Linked DNA regions of Cricetulus griseus. The protein of the gene in region 3 interacts with the protein of the main gene of each other region in a pairwise test. Links are inferred from orthologs where the notes say so. Each region holds a gene or a part of one and is shown on either strand. Other genes may lie near its edges.

Evidence for each region.
Region 1: the proteins of Trim54 (region 3) and kelch-like protein 38 interact in binary tests that used the Homo sapiens proteins (3 or more experiments, as listed by UniProt). The two-hybrid records come from large-scale screens. The link is inferred for Cricetulus griseus from reciprocal best matches to the Homo sapiens genes TRIM54 and KLHL38.
Region 2: the proteins of Trim54 (region 3) and CUNH1orf109 interact in binary tests that used the Homo sapiens proteins (3 or more experiments, as listed by UniProt). The two-hybrid records come from large-scale screens. The link is inferred for Cricetulus griseus from reciprocal best matches to the Homo sapiens genes TRIM54 and AIRIM.
Region 4: the proteins of Trim54 (region 3) and Ngly1 interact in binary tests that used the Homo sapiens proteins (3 or more experiments, as listed by UniProt). The two-hybrid records come from large-scale screens. The link is inferred for Cricetulus griseus from reciprocal best matches to the Homo sapiens genes TRIM54 and NGLY1.

What each region holds. Positions count from the first base shown.
Region 1 is NC_048603.1:29,304,666-29,308,185, forward strand, and holds part of kelch-like protein 38, read left to right. Parts: intron 1-2,075; coding exon 2,076-2,181; intron 2,182-3,187; coding exon 3,188-3,477; 3' UTR 3,478-3,520.
Region 2 is NC_048595.1:28,114,320-28,116,867, forward strand, and holds part of CUNH1orf109 (uncharacterized protein C1orf109 homolog), read right to left. Parts: intron 1,802-2,548; coding exon 1,622-1,801; intron 1-1,621. UniProt on the Homo sapiens protein: Part of the 55LCC heterohexameric ATPase complex which is chromatin-associated and promotes replisome proteostasis to maintain replication fork progression and genome stability.
Region 3 is NC_048600.1:13,268,702-13,272,815, forward strand, and holds the start of Trim54 (tripartite motif-containing protein 54), read right to left. Parts: upstream 2,818-4,114; 5' UTR 2,401-2,817; coding exon 2,233-2,400; intron 1-2,232. UniProt on the Homo sapiens protein: May bind and stabilize microtubules during myotubes formation.
Region 4 is NW_023276807.1:173,763,754-173,767,273, reverse strand, and holds part of Ngly1 (peptide-N(4)-(N-acetyl-beta-glucosaminyl)asparagine amidase), read right to left. Parts: intron 2,123-3,520; coding exon 2,001-2,122; intron 573-2,000; coding exon 427-572; intron 1-426. UniProt on the Homo sapiens protein: Specifically deglycosylates the denatured form of N-linked glycoproteins in the cytoplasm and assists their proteasome-mediated degradation. Cleaves the beta-aspartyl-glucosamine (GlcNAc) of the glycan and the amide side chain of Asn, converting Asn to Asp.

The DNA of each region.
Region 1 (3,520 bases), on a different chromosome or scaffold from region 3:
GACTTGCTATGAAAGTCTGAACTGAGTTTGGTTCCCAGAACCCAGTGAAAGTGGAAGGGAGAGTAGACTTCACAAAGTTGATCTCTGACCTCCACACACACCGTGGCACAAGTGTGCACACATATGCACAAACATACGCACAACAAACATAGCAATAAATTGTAAACTAGCAGATAATACCACACTCCGTCAACAGATCCATGGCACTGGTGACCGAGAGCATGGCCCCTGGATTGAACCAGAAACTACCATGTCCATTCAGTCTGTCTGTGCAAGTCACTGTCTGTAGGCCTCAAGAGTCTAATCTAAAAAAACGAGGAAGAAACAGTGGCTACCCTGATAACATTGTGAAAGTCAACTTCTTCTTGCTACCTATTTACATTAAAAATGTAGTTATTTTTTATGCCTATGGGTGTTCTGCCTGCACACACACACACACACACACACCAGAGCATCACGTGAATGCTGTGGCCCTAGAAGTAAGACAAGAGCATCCGATTCTCTGGAACTGGAGTTAAGGACAGTTGTGAGGCACCGTGTGAGCTGCTGGGAATTGAACCCAGAACCTTGCAGAGTGTAGCCAGTTCTCTTAACCACTGAGCCACCTCTCCAGTCCCTATTTATGATTTTAGAAGCAAAGTCTCATGTAGCCCAGGCTGACCTTGACCTTCTGATCTGCTTCCACTTCTTGGTTGCTAGGGTCACAGGTGGCACCAGCCACACCCAGTGTATGTGGTTCTGGGGTCAATACAGGCCTTCATACATGCCAGTGGTCCTGGGGGTCAGTGCAGGCTTCATACATGGCCAGGTGAGCACTCCACTGCCTGCCCTAAAGGATGAGGTCATTGATGAAGCTAGAAATTATATTTTGTATGGGAAAAAGTATCAGTGACAACTACTGTGCCATTTTCCTCAGTAAACAGATGTTTGTTTATTCTTTTTTTTTCCATGTTTGGTTTTTCCAGAAGGGTTTCTCTGTGTAGCTTTGTAGACCAGGGCTGGCCTCGAACCCACAGAGATCCGCCTGCCTCTGCTTCCCAAGTGTTGGGATTAAAGGCGTGTGCCACCAATGTCTGGCTTGTTTCTTCTTATGTGGAGTCTGTCCTTTATCTCTGATGCTAAATTGTGCCTATTACTTTTGTTTGATATTTGAGTTTGAAACTGAGGAAATCAACAGAAGAGGGAACCGTAATTTGATCTGCATTTCGATTTGTCTCTTCTCTTATTTCTCTTCTTTCACAAAAACTCTAGTTCCTCTCAGCCTAAGGAGCCTTCCTTGCATAGCCTCAAATGTATTCTTGGTTCTCTGACCCTCTTAGCTACACAGGAACATTCAGAAATATAAACACTATCTAGAAATAAAAATACTGAAAAATAATTGGTTTCCTAAATATCCAAGATGCTCCATTTCTCATTAAAATAATAAAACATCCCAAGAAGGTAAGAGAGATGCCTACCCCAGTGTGGAACCCTTGGCCCAGGTAATGGAAACACAGCCACTGGTTTCATGGGGTCACAAAACTAACTCATCTTTCTGCCAGCAAGAGTTCATGTATTGATAGTAATACCTACACTTTAAAACCTGAAAAGAAACGGAAAGAAAAATTCCTTTCTGATTCACCCTGAGGTTGACTACTTGGGCCAATAAGGTGGCTCATCAGATAAAGGCTTTTGTCACCAAGACTGGTGATCTAAGTTCAGGCCCTGGAACTCACATGGTAGAAAAAAAGAACAGAAACCCAAAATCCTCTGACCTCCACACTTAGAAACACAGACACACACACACTTTCATACACATACCATACACACACTAACACACACACACAACACACACAATACATACATGACTTACATACTACACACACACATCATACACACCACACACACACACACACACACACACACACACACACACCACACACACACACACACCACACACACACACACACACACCACACAAACATACTCCTCTCTCTGTGTGTGTCTCTCTCAAGTAAAAATGTGATAACTCCTCTTTTTCTCTTTTAGAGAAGTTAACTTTAAAATTTGGTGTCATGACTCTGTTTCCCCCTCAGGTTTACCACATTTCCAGAAACACATGGTTCAAAATGGAGACAAGGATGATCAAGAACGTGTGCGCCCCCGCAGTGGTACTGGGGGAGAGAATTGTCATTGTGGGAGGTGAGTGAACAGAGCGGTCGGGAACAAACTCAGCAGCTCCTGGGGAAACGGCTGCTGAGAGGCCGGGCTTGGGAAATCACATCCATCCGGAGGAAAGTGCGGAAAACCCAAAGAGCCGTTCGCCTGGAAGCTTCTTCCTGTCTCTCTCTATATTCTACAGAGCTGTTGTCCTGATAAAATGTATTATGTGGCTAAAGCCAGCAGGACTGTTGTAGACACAGGAAGAAGAGATGCCAACACTAGCTAGGTGTGGTAGCTCACACCTGTAATTTGAGCACTTGGGAGGCTGAGATGGAAGGATTGCCAGTCTGGGCTACATAGTGAGTTCCAGACCAGACTATACAAAGTATAAGACCCTCTCTCAAAATACTACTACTAATAATAGTAGTGGTGCTGCTGCTGCTGCTGATACTAACAACAACAATGGCTTCTAACACATCACTTCTCTGTAAATGCATACTATTCTGTGGTTAAGAGGGCCAGTAGAGGGGTCAAAGAGACCTGGGTTCAAATCCCAACTCTACCATTAGGTGGTTATATACTTTTTGCAAGTTAGTCATCTTTCTATGTCTTGGTTTGCCTGTCACGAAAATGGGAACCCTCAAAACAACTGCCCAGCAGACAGCCATGCAATCCATTTCTGTGTTCCCAAAGAAGGTCCTCGTCCTTGAATGGCTGTGGCTCTGGGGTCACGCAGAAGAGATAATAATGGCAGCAGGGCTGTAGAAGCTATTGGAAGGCAGAATTTCCCCCTACGCTACGAATGACTTACATGGCTGCCGTAATTTGGGCCAGAGCCAGAGAGATCCAGATGCCAGCCTCAGCTCTGCCACAAGCCAGGCTGCAGCAGGGTACCTGGGCATCCATGCTTTGGTCAGAGTCCCAGCCTGGCGGGTGTCTGGGGGCCAGGGGGGTGGGGAATTGGGGAGCAGAAGCATTCTTCAAGCCCTGATCCACAGCCCCAGGTGAGCCACCCACAGCTGTCCGTGCGTTATTCAATTTTCAGGTTACACAAGGAGGATTCTTGCTTATGACCCTCGGGCCAACAAATTTGTCAAGTGTGCAGACATGAAGGACCGGAGGATGCACCACGGGGCGGCAGTGATGGGAAGCAAGCTGTATGTGACAGGTGGGCGGAGGCTGACCACGGACTGCAACATTGAGGACTCCGCCTCCTTTGACTGCTATGACCCTGAGACGGACACCTGGACATCCCAGGGACAGCTACCGCACACACTCTTTGACCACGCCTGCCTGACTCTCCAGTGCATCCGTCACACGGCCGGCTTCACGTGAAGGCCACAAGAACCTATCTGGGTCAAAATGCTGTGTGATGCAA
Region 2 (2,548 bases), on a different chromosome or scaffold from region 3:
GCTAACAGCTATCTGTAACTTCAAGATCTGAGACATACATGGTTATTAAGACATACATGCCGGCAAAATACACAGACATACATGCAGGCAAAACACCAATGCACATAAAATAAAAGTAAATACATTATTAAAAAAATAACAAAACAAAACAACTCAGTGGCAGTTCTAGTCAGCTGTAGAGGCCCACGCCTTTAATCCCAGCACTATTTAGAGAAATCAAAATGGTAACAAACACAAAAACAAAAGTCTGGCAGTTCAGATGAACACACCACTGGAAGAAACAGAGAAACAAAGGCACAGGGCAGAGGAAGCATGGAGTGGACTGGCACTGCAAGCCTCCCAGTGTCCTGACACGGTTGGCTAAAGTAGAAAGTAGTTGAAAGGTGGCTTCAGCCAGTATAAAGGCAGCAGTGGAGGACAAGGTAGGGATTCTGAGCCCTACCCCACCAGCAACAGAAGAGCTGACAACTCCTGGTTGAACACAACTAGACCTAGACCTCATGAAGATGACTGTGGTACATAACCACAGACAGCTCAGAGAGAGAATCTGGAGATAGAGGAAAGTCAGGAGGGGATACAGGATTAAGCATCCATGCCAGGGGCTGCCAAGATGGTTCACTGGGTGAAGGTGCTTGCTGCCAAATCCAATGAACTAAATGGGAGCCATATGGTGGAAGGAGAGAACCCATTCTGTTAAGTTATCCTCTGACCTCCTCATGAATGCTAAGCATAAGCCTTGGCCACACTATTCTGCTTAAAATCTTCTGAGAACATTCATCTCAAAAGAACAGCCAAAACCCAGCTGGGCGTTGGTGGCGCAAGCCTTTAATCCCAGCATTTGGGAGGCAGAGGCAGGTGGATCTCTGAGTTCGAGGCCAGCCTGGTCTCCAGAACGAGTGCCAGGATAGGCTCAAAAGCTACACAGAAACCCTGTCTCGAAAAACCAAAACAAACAAAACAAACAAACAAACAAAAAATCCTTCTCAAAAAACCAAGGTCCCATGTCACTATCCTCATGCCCTGCCCTCATTACACAGACCTCATGGCTATGTCCAAAATATACCAGGCATGCTCCCGCACAGGCCTTTTCACTCCATGTACCTTCTGCCTGGACCATTCTTCTCCCAAATATCCACATGGCTCATTCCTTCACTCTTTCAAAACTTTGCTCAAATGTCATACCCATCGCTGCCTCATGGGTGCCTGTTTGACACTATTAAAATCACAACCCCAAGCTGGGTGGTGGTGGTATACACCTTTAACCCTGACACTCTGGAGACAGAGGCCAGGACAGCCAGGACTACACAGAGAAACCCTGTCTCGAGAAAAAAAAACCCACAGCCCACCCTTCCTACCTTGTCTCCCTGCTTTGTTCTTAGCACTCACCACATCTGACAGCACACATTCCCCTTCTCATGCCTGCCTCTCAGCACTCACAGCAGTGCCTAGCAGCTAAACTGTAAGGAGTGACTATTAAAATACACAAACAAATGCAGGAAGAACCCAAGTTTGAGCTCTAAAGAGAACTGCAGCAAACTGTACAGCCTGCTGATCTTGTGAGATGTGAACCAGCAAAGGCTGCTGGAGCAGCTCTGAGCAGTCTGGATGCACTCAAGGATATGAGCTTCGATAATGTCTGTCGATGTCTTGCAGCCACTCCAACATGTCAGCCACAGAGGGGCTCACAACTGAGGGCTGCAGGACAGCATCCATGTCAAGTGCAGCCGAATGCTGCTCGTAGGTCTGAAACACCCGCTCCACATGGCTGCTGATGGTGTCTCGAACCTTGAGGAGGGTGGCTCTGTGGGAAAAGTGGAATTTTGGACAGTATCTCAAAAAAAGGGAGGAGGTAAGGCTCCTTTCACCACTACTGACATTTGGAGGTTTTGTTTCAGAGGGCATTCAAACCCTCAGACACTCCTGGGAAGCGGTCTACCACTGAGCTACACCCCAGTCCCACTTTGCAAATTCTTTTTAATTACATATGGTGGGAAGGGGCACACATGCCACAGCACTTGTGTGTGAAGGTCAGGGGGCTACTTTGTGGTGTCCATTCTGTCCTTCCATCTTTCTGTGGGTTCTGGAGATTGAACCATCTGGGGACTGAGCCATCTTGACTACCCTTTTTTAATCCAGTTCTTGAATGACAGCGTAGATGGGGTGCAGACTGCTGGGGAAAGTGAGTTAATCCTTATATAAAGGCTCCTTTGCTCACTGTGTCTCCCAAGAACAGGAGCACACACACAGCACACACAGTCAGTGTAGCAGTGAATGAGAAAGAGAAATAATGATGATGTGTAGAAAGTGCTTTTGTACCCGTGATGGTGGTGGCGGCGCACGCCTTTAACCCCAGCACTCAGGAGGCAGAAGCAGGTGCATCTCTGTGAGTTTGAGGCCACCCTGGTCTACAGAGCGAATTCCAGGACAGCCACGGATACACAGAGAAACCCTGTCTTGGGGTTAAAAAAAAAAAAGAAGAAGAAGAAGGAAAAGTGATTTTGGTAGTGCCTAGGTATTCTTCTTCTTTTTCTTTCTTTCTTTTTTTTTT
Region 3 (4,114 bases):
TTTGGAGGCTGGTGGTCCAAGAAAGCCTGCTATGCCAAGGAACCTAAAAGGCTATGTTCTCAGTGAAGTTAAGACCCACTTGTGTCAAGACTGGAGAGACAGCCTGGCCATTTGGAACACATGCTGCTCTTTCAGAGCATCAGAGTTTGGTTCCCAGCTGCCACATCACAAACACTGCAGCTCCAGCTCCAGGGGATCTGACACCCTTTTCTGGCTTCTGTGCGCACACACACACACACATACACACACACACTAATAAGAAATATTTTTTTAAAAATAGCTTGTGCTGGGGCTGGAGAGATGGCTCAGAGGTTAGGAGTACTGGCTGCTCTTCCAGAGGTCCTGAGTTCAATTCCCAGCAACCACATGGTGGCTCACAGCCATCTATAATGAAATCTGGTTCCCTCTTCTGGTGTGTGTATACATAATAAATCTTTAAAAAAATAGCTTGTGTTGGGGCTTGTGGTGTAGAGCAATGGTAGAATGCATGTTTAACACACACAATGCCCTGGATTAACCATAGCACCAAAGAGAGGAGGGAAAAAGGTGTGAAAATGTCTGCTCAACTCATTCCCTCATAGTCTGTGAAAAGCAGGAATAATCTTTTTGAGATTTATTTTATGTGTATGTATTTTGCCTGCATGCATAATGCCCATGAGGGGAGGGTTCAGAAGGGAGCATCAGGTCCCCTGGAACTGGAGTTAGACAGTTGTAAGCTATCATGTGGATGCTGGGAACGGAAACTGAGTTGTTTGGGAGAGCAACAAGAGTTCTTAACCACTGAGCCATCTCTCCAGCCCTACCACTTTTTTATTTAATTTTTGAGACTTGGTCTTACTATACATAGCCAGTGGATATACTGGTATAATTGTTCCATAGACCAGGCTAGCCTCTAGTTTGTGGTGGTTACATAGACCAAGCTACCTTCTATTTGTGGTGGTTATGTAGACCAGGCTAGCCACTAGTTTGTGGGGGTTACATAGACCAGACTAGTCTCTAGTTTGTGGTGGTTACATACACCAGGCTAGCCTCTAGTTTGTGGGAGTTATGTATAACAGGCTAGTCTCTAGTTGTGGTGGTCCTCTTAGGTGTTTCAACCACAGGCATGTGTCACACAGCCTGGCTCCTGGCTGGAATCTTATTCCTGATGCTTCTGTCACAGATTTGCACCAAGCCACCCGGATCTTGCAGTTTTTACTTCATCTGCAAGGTCTCATGTCTGTACACGTGAGTCCTGTCCCTTCGCTCTCCCTGACCTCTGATCTAGTTTACAGCCTACTGGAACCTCTATGAATGATACAGGGTAGGAAAGCAAGCCTATGAATTTATAAAGAATTATGATGTATGCATTTATTTAGTTGGTTAGACAGGGTCTCACATAGCCCAAGCTGGCCTTAAACTCATTCTCCGGCTGCCACCTCCCAAGGGCTGGGATTGCAGCCATGCATCACCATGCCCAGCTTTTTTGTTTTTATTTTTGAAATGTGTGGACAGAATGATATCAGTGACTTAACTTAGCTATGCCCGGCCTCATGACCACAGCTACACAGGCATTTCTGGGAAGTACAATTCTGCTTCTGCCTTCTCTCTGTCCATAAATCACCTGAGTATCAGTTGGTCCATGGGCCTCTTCACCAGGTCAGGAGGGCTCACAGGTGTGAAACTGGGGAAAACTTCTGCTTCCCTGGCCCACTGTGTCTAAGCAGCTCCCTCATGGAGAGAGGAGCTCTATCTCAAATATACACAGCTCGGCTGGCATCATAGGCTTTCTCACTGGTTTGTCACAAATTTTTAATTCTAGGGTTTAATTTTATGTTTTGGGGATCAAGTTCAGGTTGTCAGCTTTGGTAGCAAGTGTCTTCACTGTCTTGCTGGCTCTATTATTTTTTTAATACCTCATATTTCATTGATCTCATCTATGGTGTGTAAAGAAAGTAAATAAATAAAACCACAAAGCCTCAAAGTAAATGAAATCTAGTAAGGCTCCCACAAAGTCCAGGCAAGACCACCCTCCTTGCCAGTTTCTGCCAGTCTCCCTGGGGTCCTCCTTCTGACGCTGTGCACACAGGCTGTGCTTGCCAGGCTCTGGGCAACTGCTGACTCGTGCTTCCTCTGGGATCCCACAGCCTCCAACTCTCCTGCCACTGAGTTGGGGCAGCGTCACCATCTCCCGCCTGTGGGACCTGCCACCCAGTCCCTTCCTAGACCTGACCCAGCTGTCCCCAAGCCCACCTGGAAGACGTCATTGGCACACTTGCGGCACAGGTTGTGCTGGCAGGGCAGGATCACCACGGGCTTGGAGAACATCTCCAGGCAGATGGGGCAGATGAGCTGCTTCTCCAGGTTGTCCATGTTGTGTGCATCCCCTAGCAGCGGCTTGAAACCCACGGTGAAGTTCATCCCTTGGCGCTCTAGTGCCTGCCTTGGCCCTGTTTCTGGCCTTCTCTCGCTGCCTGTGCACACTTCTTGTAAACTTTAGGCTGTCTGTGGATTCTTAGGATCCCTGATCTTGCTCCCTCTTGAAAGGGTGATGTTTCCTGTTTCTCTCCCTCTAACGGCCCCTCTCACCCTGGCTATTTCCAGACGCTTCTGTCTGCACTCCCTGTTCAGAGCCGTCTCCACAAACTTGTCCCTTTAGCTCCCCCTGAGAAATTCTCTTGCTCCCCCAAACCACCCTCGTGCTCACTCTACAGGCAGTACTCTTTGTCCCTTGCTCGCTAGAGAGGTTAATATTACTGTGGGGGTAGGGAGACAAGGGGCATTTGTGTGACATTCCAGTTCCCAATTTAGCTCATGTAAGGCGAGCCACAGCTGTCCCGGACTGAGTGACCCTGACTCACTCAGCTGGTGGCTTTCTTGAGCAAGAAGAGCAGCAGGGGTGTCACTGCTTTCAGTGGGTGGTGGGTCAGTGTGGGGCTCACTTGTCACTGGGAAGGTTCCTGCAACCTCTGCTCTCCGTGTTCTGGCTTGAGACCTTCTTCCTAACAGAAACTAGCACATGGGAGAGACAGCACACATGGCTCAGGGTGGGAAGGATGGTCTGGACGGATCTACAGACTTCTGTCTCTCCCTTTTATACTGAGCATTGATCCTGACCCTCCTCCTGGAGACTCAGGATTCAGAAGTGGAACTCCAGACCCTACAAAAGAGAACTTCTTGTCCCATATGTCTGGTCCATATTTGTTCTTGTTCAGCCTTAAAAAAACAACTACATTTATTTACTTTAGGGAGGGGTAGGTATGACATGGAGCATATGTGGAGGTCACAGGTCACTGACAGGAGTCACTTCTTTTTCTTCAGTGTGGGGGTTACAGAAATCAAACTGAGGTCATCAGAATTGGTGACCAATGCCTTTACCTATTGAGCAATCTAGCCACAAACTTCCCTCTCCCTTATTAAAGACAGGCTCTCAGTAGATTAGGTTAACCTTGAATTCACTGTCATCAAGGATGACCTTGAACTCCTGATCCTCTTGACTCTACATCCAAAGTGCTAGGATTAGGGGAGAACACCATTATTCCCAGTTTACGAGGTTCTGGGCGTCAACTCGGGGTCTTTTGTGTACTAGAGAAGCACTGTGCTTACTGAACTACATCGCCCTTGGATGGCCAGTTATATCATCCTAGGAGAGCAGCTGAAGAGGCAAGAGATGGCTGCTGTGCCAGCCCAGGCCTGCCTTATGATCAGGGCATGAGAGTGTGTGATTCTGGTCTACCACTGAAGCCATTTCAGGGACGCTAAATTTGCTTAGAATCTGAGACAGTAGTGGACTGGAGATGTCTCAATGGTTAAGACAGTCTCATGAGGAGTGGAGTTCAGATCCCCAACACTCACAACCACCCTTTACCACAACTCCGAGTGACTCAGCGCCCTCTTCTGGCTTCCACAGGCATGCACAGACAGATGTGCAGACCCATTTACACAGACACACACATGCAGACACACACACACACACACACACACACACACACACACACACACACACACACATATAAAAAAGGAAAAGTGTGAGAACAGATGTGGCTGGAAACATTCCGAATGCTGCAGTTGTCTGGAACACCAGTGAACCAGTCTGCAGAGCAGTCTCAGGACACTGACAGAGGCACCACCACTG
Region 4 (3,520 bases), on a different chromosome or scaffold from region 3:
TCTTCGTCAGGGCTAAATTTAAAAGTAAAGCCACATTAAACTTTGGCAAAGATGTGGAGAAACTGGGAAGTCTCATGTACTGCTGGTAAGAAAATAAAATGGTGCCATTCCTTTGCAAAATAACTGGACAATGATCCAGCCATTCTACTCCTAGGTAGTAAACAGAAAGAAAAAGCAAGTATATACCAGAATGTTTGTAGCAGCTTAATTTAAAATATTAAAAACTGAACCCATTTAATGTCCACCTGTAGGTACATAGATACGAACATTCCTTGGTACACCCACAGCAGAAAACACTGATTACAGTGAGTTTTTGGAATATAAAAATGACATATATTAAACAGCACAGGGCAAATGTATATGACCTGAATGTCAAATACACTTTAAAATAGTTTTATTCTTGTAATTCTTTCTCTTATGTCCTACCTCATCTTTAGAGAATGCTATGATATAGGAAAGCTTTTTGCCCCATCCTATTTCATAAAGGAGAGGTTTGTCACAGACGTCTTCACATGCATCACAGTGCAGCCACCGCTGCTGAGAAGAAGAATAGACTTCTGTCCAAACATGGTCTACTCACATGGGGTAAGAAAAAGAAATGGGAAATAGAAGTTAAGTTTGTAAAACAAGAATAACTTCCAATTAACTATATATAATGTTCTACGAATCACATAATAATCTAATTTATAATGTTTAAATTTTAGTTAGTTAGCAAAAGCATTTTGTGGCACACATAATTGTAGATTATTTGTATTTAAATTTTTTAAAATGTACTCGTGTAAGTCTTAATTAAAAATAATGTGTGTTATAACTCTAAAGCAGGCAAACTCTAAAGCAGGCAAAGTTTTAGCAAAGCATCACAACCACCAGGCTGTGAAGGAATGACTGAATTTTGAAACTACAATCACTCTCTGGACCCACGAGGCCTAACAGGATATCCGGTTGTTTATGGTCTATATTTGGTTTTGAAATGGAGTCTCATCAATAGGTAAATGAATACCTAGGCTGGCTTCAATCCTCCTGCCACAGCCTGTGTTGAATGCTGGGATTACAGGCATATGCCACCATACCCTGCTTGAGGCTCTACATTTGATTTTGACAGAGAGAAGACTATTAGCTGACATTTTCATCTGATTCTAAAATAATAGTGTAAACAAGGAAAACCTTGAAACAGAGACAGCAACCAGACACAACAGTCATTTCTAAATGAAGACCAAGTCAAATACCAAGGCTTTCCTCAGAGTGTTTGTGTAGACTGCAATATAGGCCGTGTCAATTACAGCAATCCCTTTAAAAATGATCTCCACAGCACATTATTACACATATTCCCATCCACCCAGAACAGGGCTACCATTAATGTCATGCTAAAAGATTAGAAGGATACAGTCTAGCTCCCAGGAATAGAGTTAGGTCTGTTTCAAAAATCTTATGGAGCCTTGAGAATGCCTGTGAGGTTGGTACTGCTCTTATTTTACACAGGTATGGTAGTTTGAATAGGAATGGCTCCCATAGACTCATGTGTTTGAATGCTTGGCCCATAGGGAGTAGCACCATTAGGAGGTGTGGCCTTATTGGAGTGGATACAGCCTTGTTGGGGGAAGTGTGTCACTGTGGAGGCAGGCTTTGAGGTCTTATATGCTCAAGCTACACCCAGTATGACTCACAGTCTCCTTTTGCTGCCTATGGATCAAGATGTAGAACTCTCAGTCCCTTCTTCAACACCATGTCTGCCTGCCTGCAAGCCACCATGCTGCTTGCCATGATTATAAAGGACTAAACCTATGAGACTGTAAGCCAGCCCCAATTGGTGTTTTCCTTTATAAAGAGTTGCTGCGGTCATTTCACAGCAATAGAAACCCCAACTAAGACAGGAGGTGAATAAAAAACTTAGGCTGATATAAGAAAGAGAAAATTAGGGGCTTAGGGCACAAATCTGAATTCCAAATCTATAGAGCCCCTTTCCTACCTCACCTCTTCCTCTCTCCTACCACATGCTGTACCTGTGTAATCCCACACATATCGAGCTTCAAACCCTAATGCACGGCAACACAGCGTAAAACAATTGGCCCACTCGCCACAGCGTCCACATCTTGTTTCCAAAAGTTTCTCAGGGTTGTTATATCTGGTTTAAAAAACAACAACAAAGACAACAGCTGTGATTCATGATTAAAATCCAATTGTTAAAGAATTTCTATCACTTGTATGCTAAGTATCAATCATGAGTCTTAGTTTCTTGTTTTAAAATATTGGTTAAAGCACCCAGCCTATGTAAGGCACTGTGCTTGTCTTTGTGAACTATGCTTAAACAGTGGAAGTGTCTTCAGTGAGTATAGTTCTGGGCAAGGATGAACACAATTTCACTATATGCAGTCAATTTTAGTCTTAATTAAAAATGGATACTACCTCTTCAAGGACACCATCATGCTCAGGATCAGTAATACAAGCCATGTAACAACTAAGACACAGGTGAATGGTTGGAGAGGGAAGTTTTCATCTTCATGGTTTTGACAAATAAGATTTAGGTGGGAAAGTTTTCTAAGAAATGTAATTAAGACATTCAACAGTTATCTTGCAAGCAAGTTTTAAAAAACTACTCAAAGGATTTTAGCTTGGGGCAGGGGCAGGGGCAGGGGCAGGGGCAAGGGCAGGGTCAGGGATTTAGCTCAGTTTGTAGGGTACTTGCCTAGCTATAAGCCCCTGGTTTAATCCCCAGCACCAAATAAAGATGGCATGGTGTTGTACAACTGCAATCCCAGCATTTAGGAGGAGGAGGATTAGAAATCCAAAGTCATTCTTGGCTATAGGTGGAGTTCAAGGTCAGCCTGTGCCACTTGATACCTTGTTTCCAAAACCAAAACCAAAACCAAAAGAAGGGCTGGGGGGATTAGGGTTTGGAGGAATGGCTCAGTGGTTAAGAACACTTGCTGCATAAGCATAAGGACCTAAGTTTGGATCAGCACTCATGTAAAAAGCTGGGTGTGACCAAGCATAGTTGTAACCCCAGAGCTGGGGGTGATGGAGACAGGAGGATTTCTGAGGCTTGCTGGACACCAGCCTAGTTCCAGTTTTGGTGAGAGACTCTGTTTTAAGGAAATAAGGCAGATGATTCAATCAGCTTCTGATATTCTCCTGTGGCTTTCACTGTGTACCTGTGAACACACCTGTACATATACACACCAGGACTCCTCACCCACACACAAAGATTTTAATGTAGTATAAATTCCAGTTTTCTTTTTACTAATGATTTTGATTAATTCTTTGGACACATTTAAAGATGCCTGCTAATTTACAAACAAGATGACTGTAGCATTCTTCTGAAAGTTATTCCAATCATAAAATTATCCTAAGAATGGAGGGCACTGAGATTTTCATTCTGCAATGAGAAAGGCTCTGCTGGTGTGTTCAGTGCTCCAGCTGAACAGAAAAGTCAGTCCCAGGCCTGGGAAGAGAAGGAAGTAGTGCCATGAATGAACTGGCTCTGCAATGACAAGTTTGTTGAGCACATGTTTTGCTTAAGTTA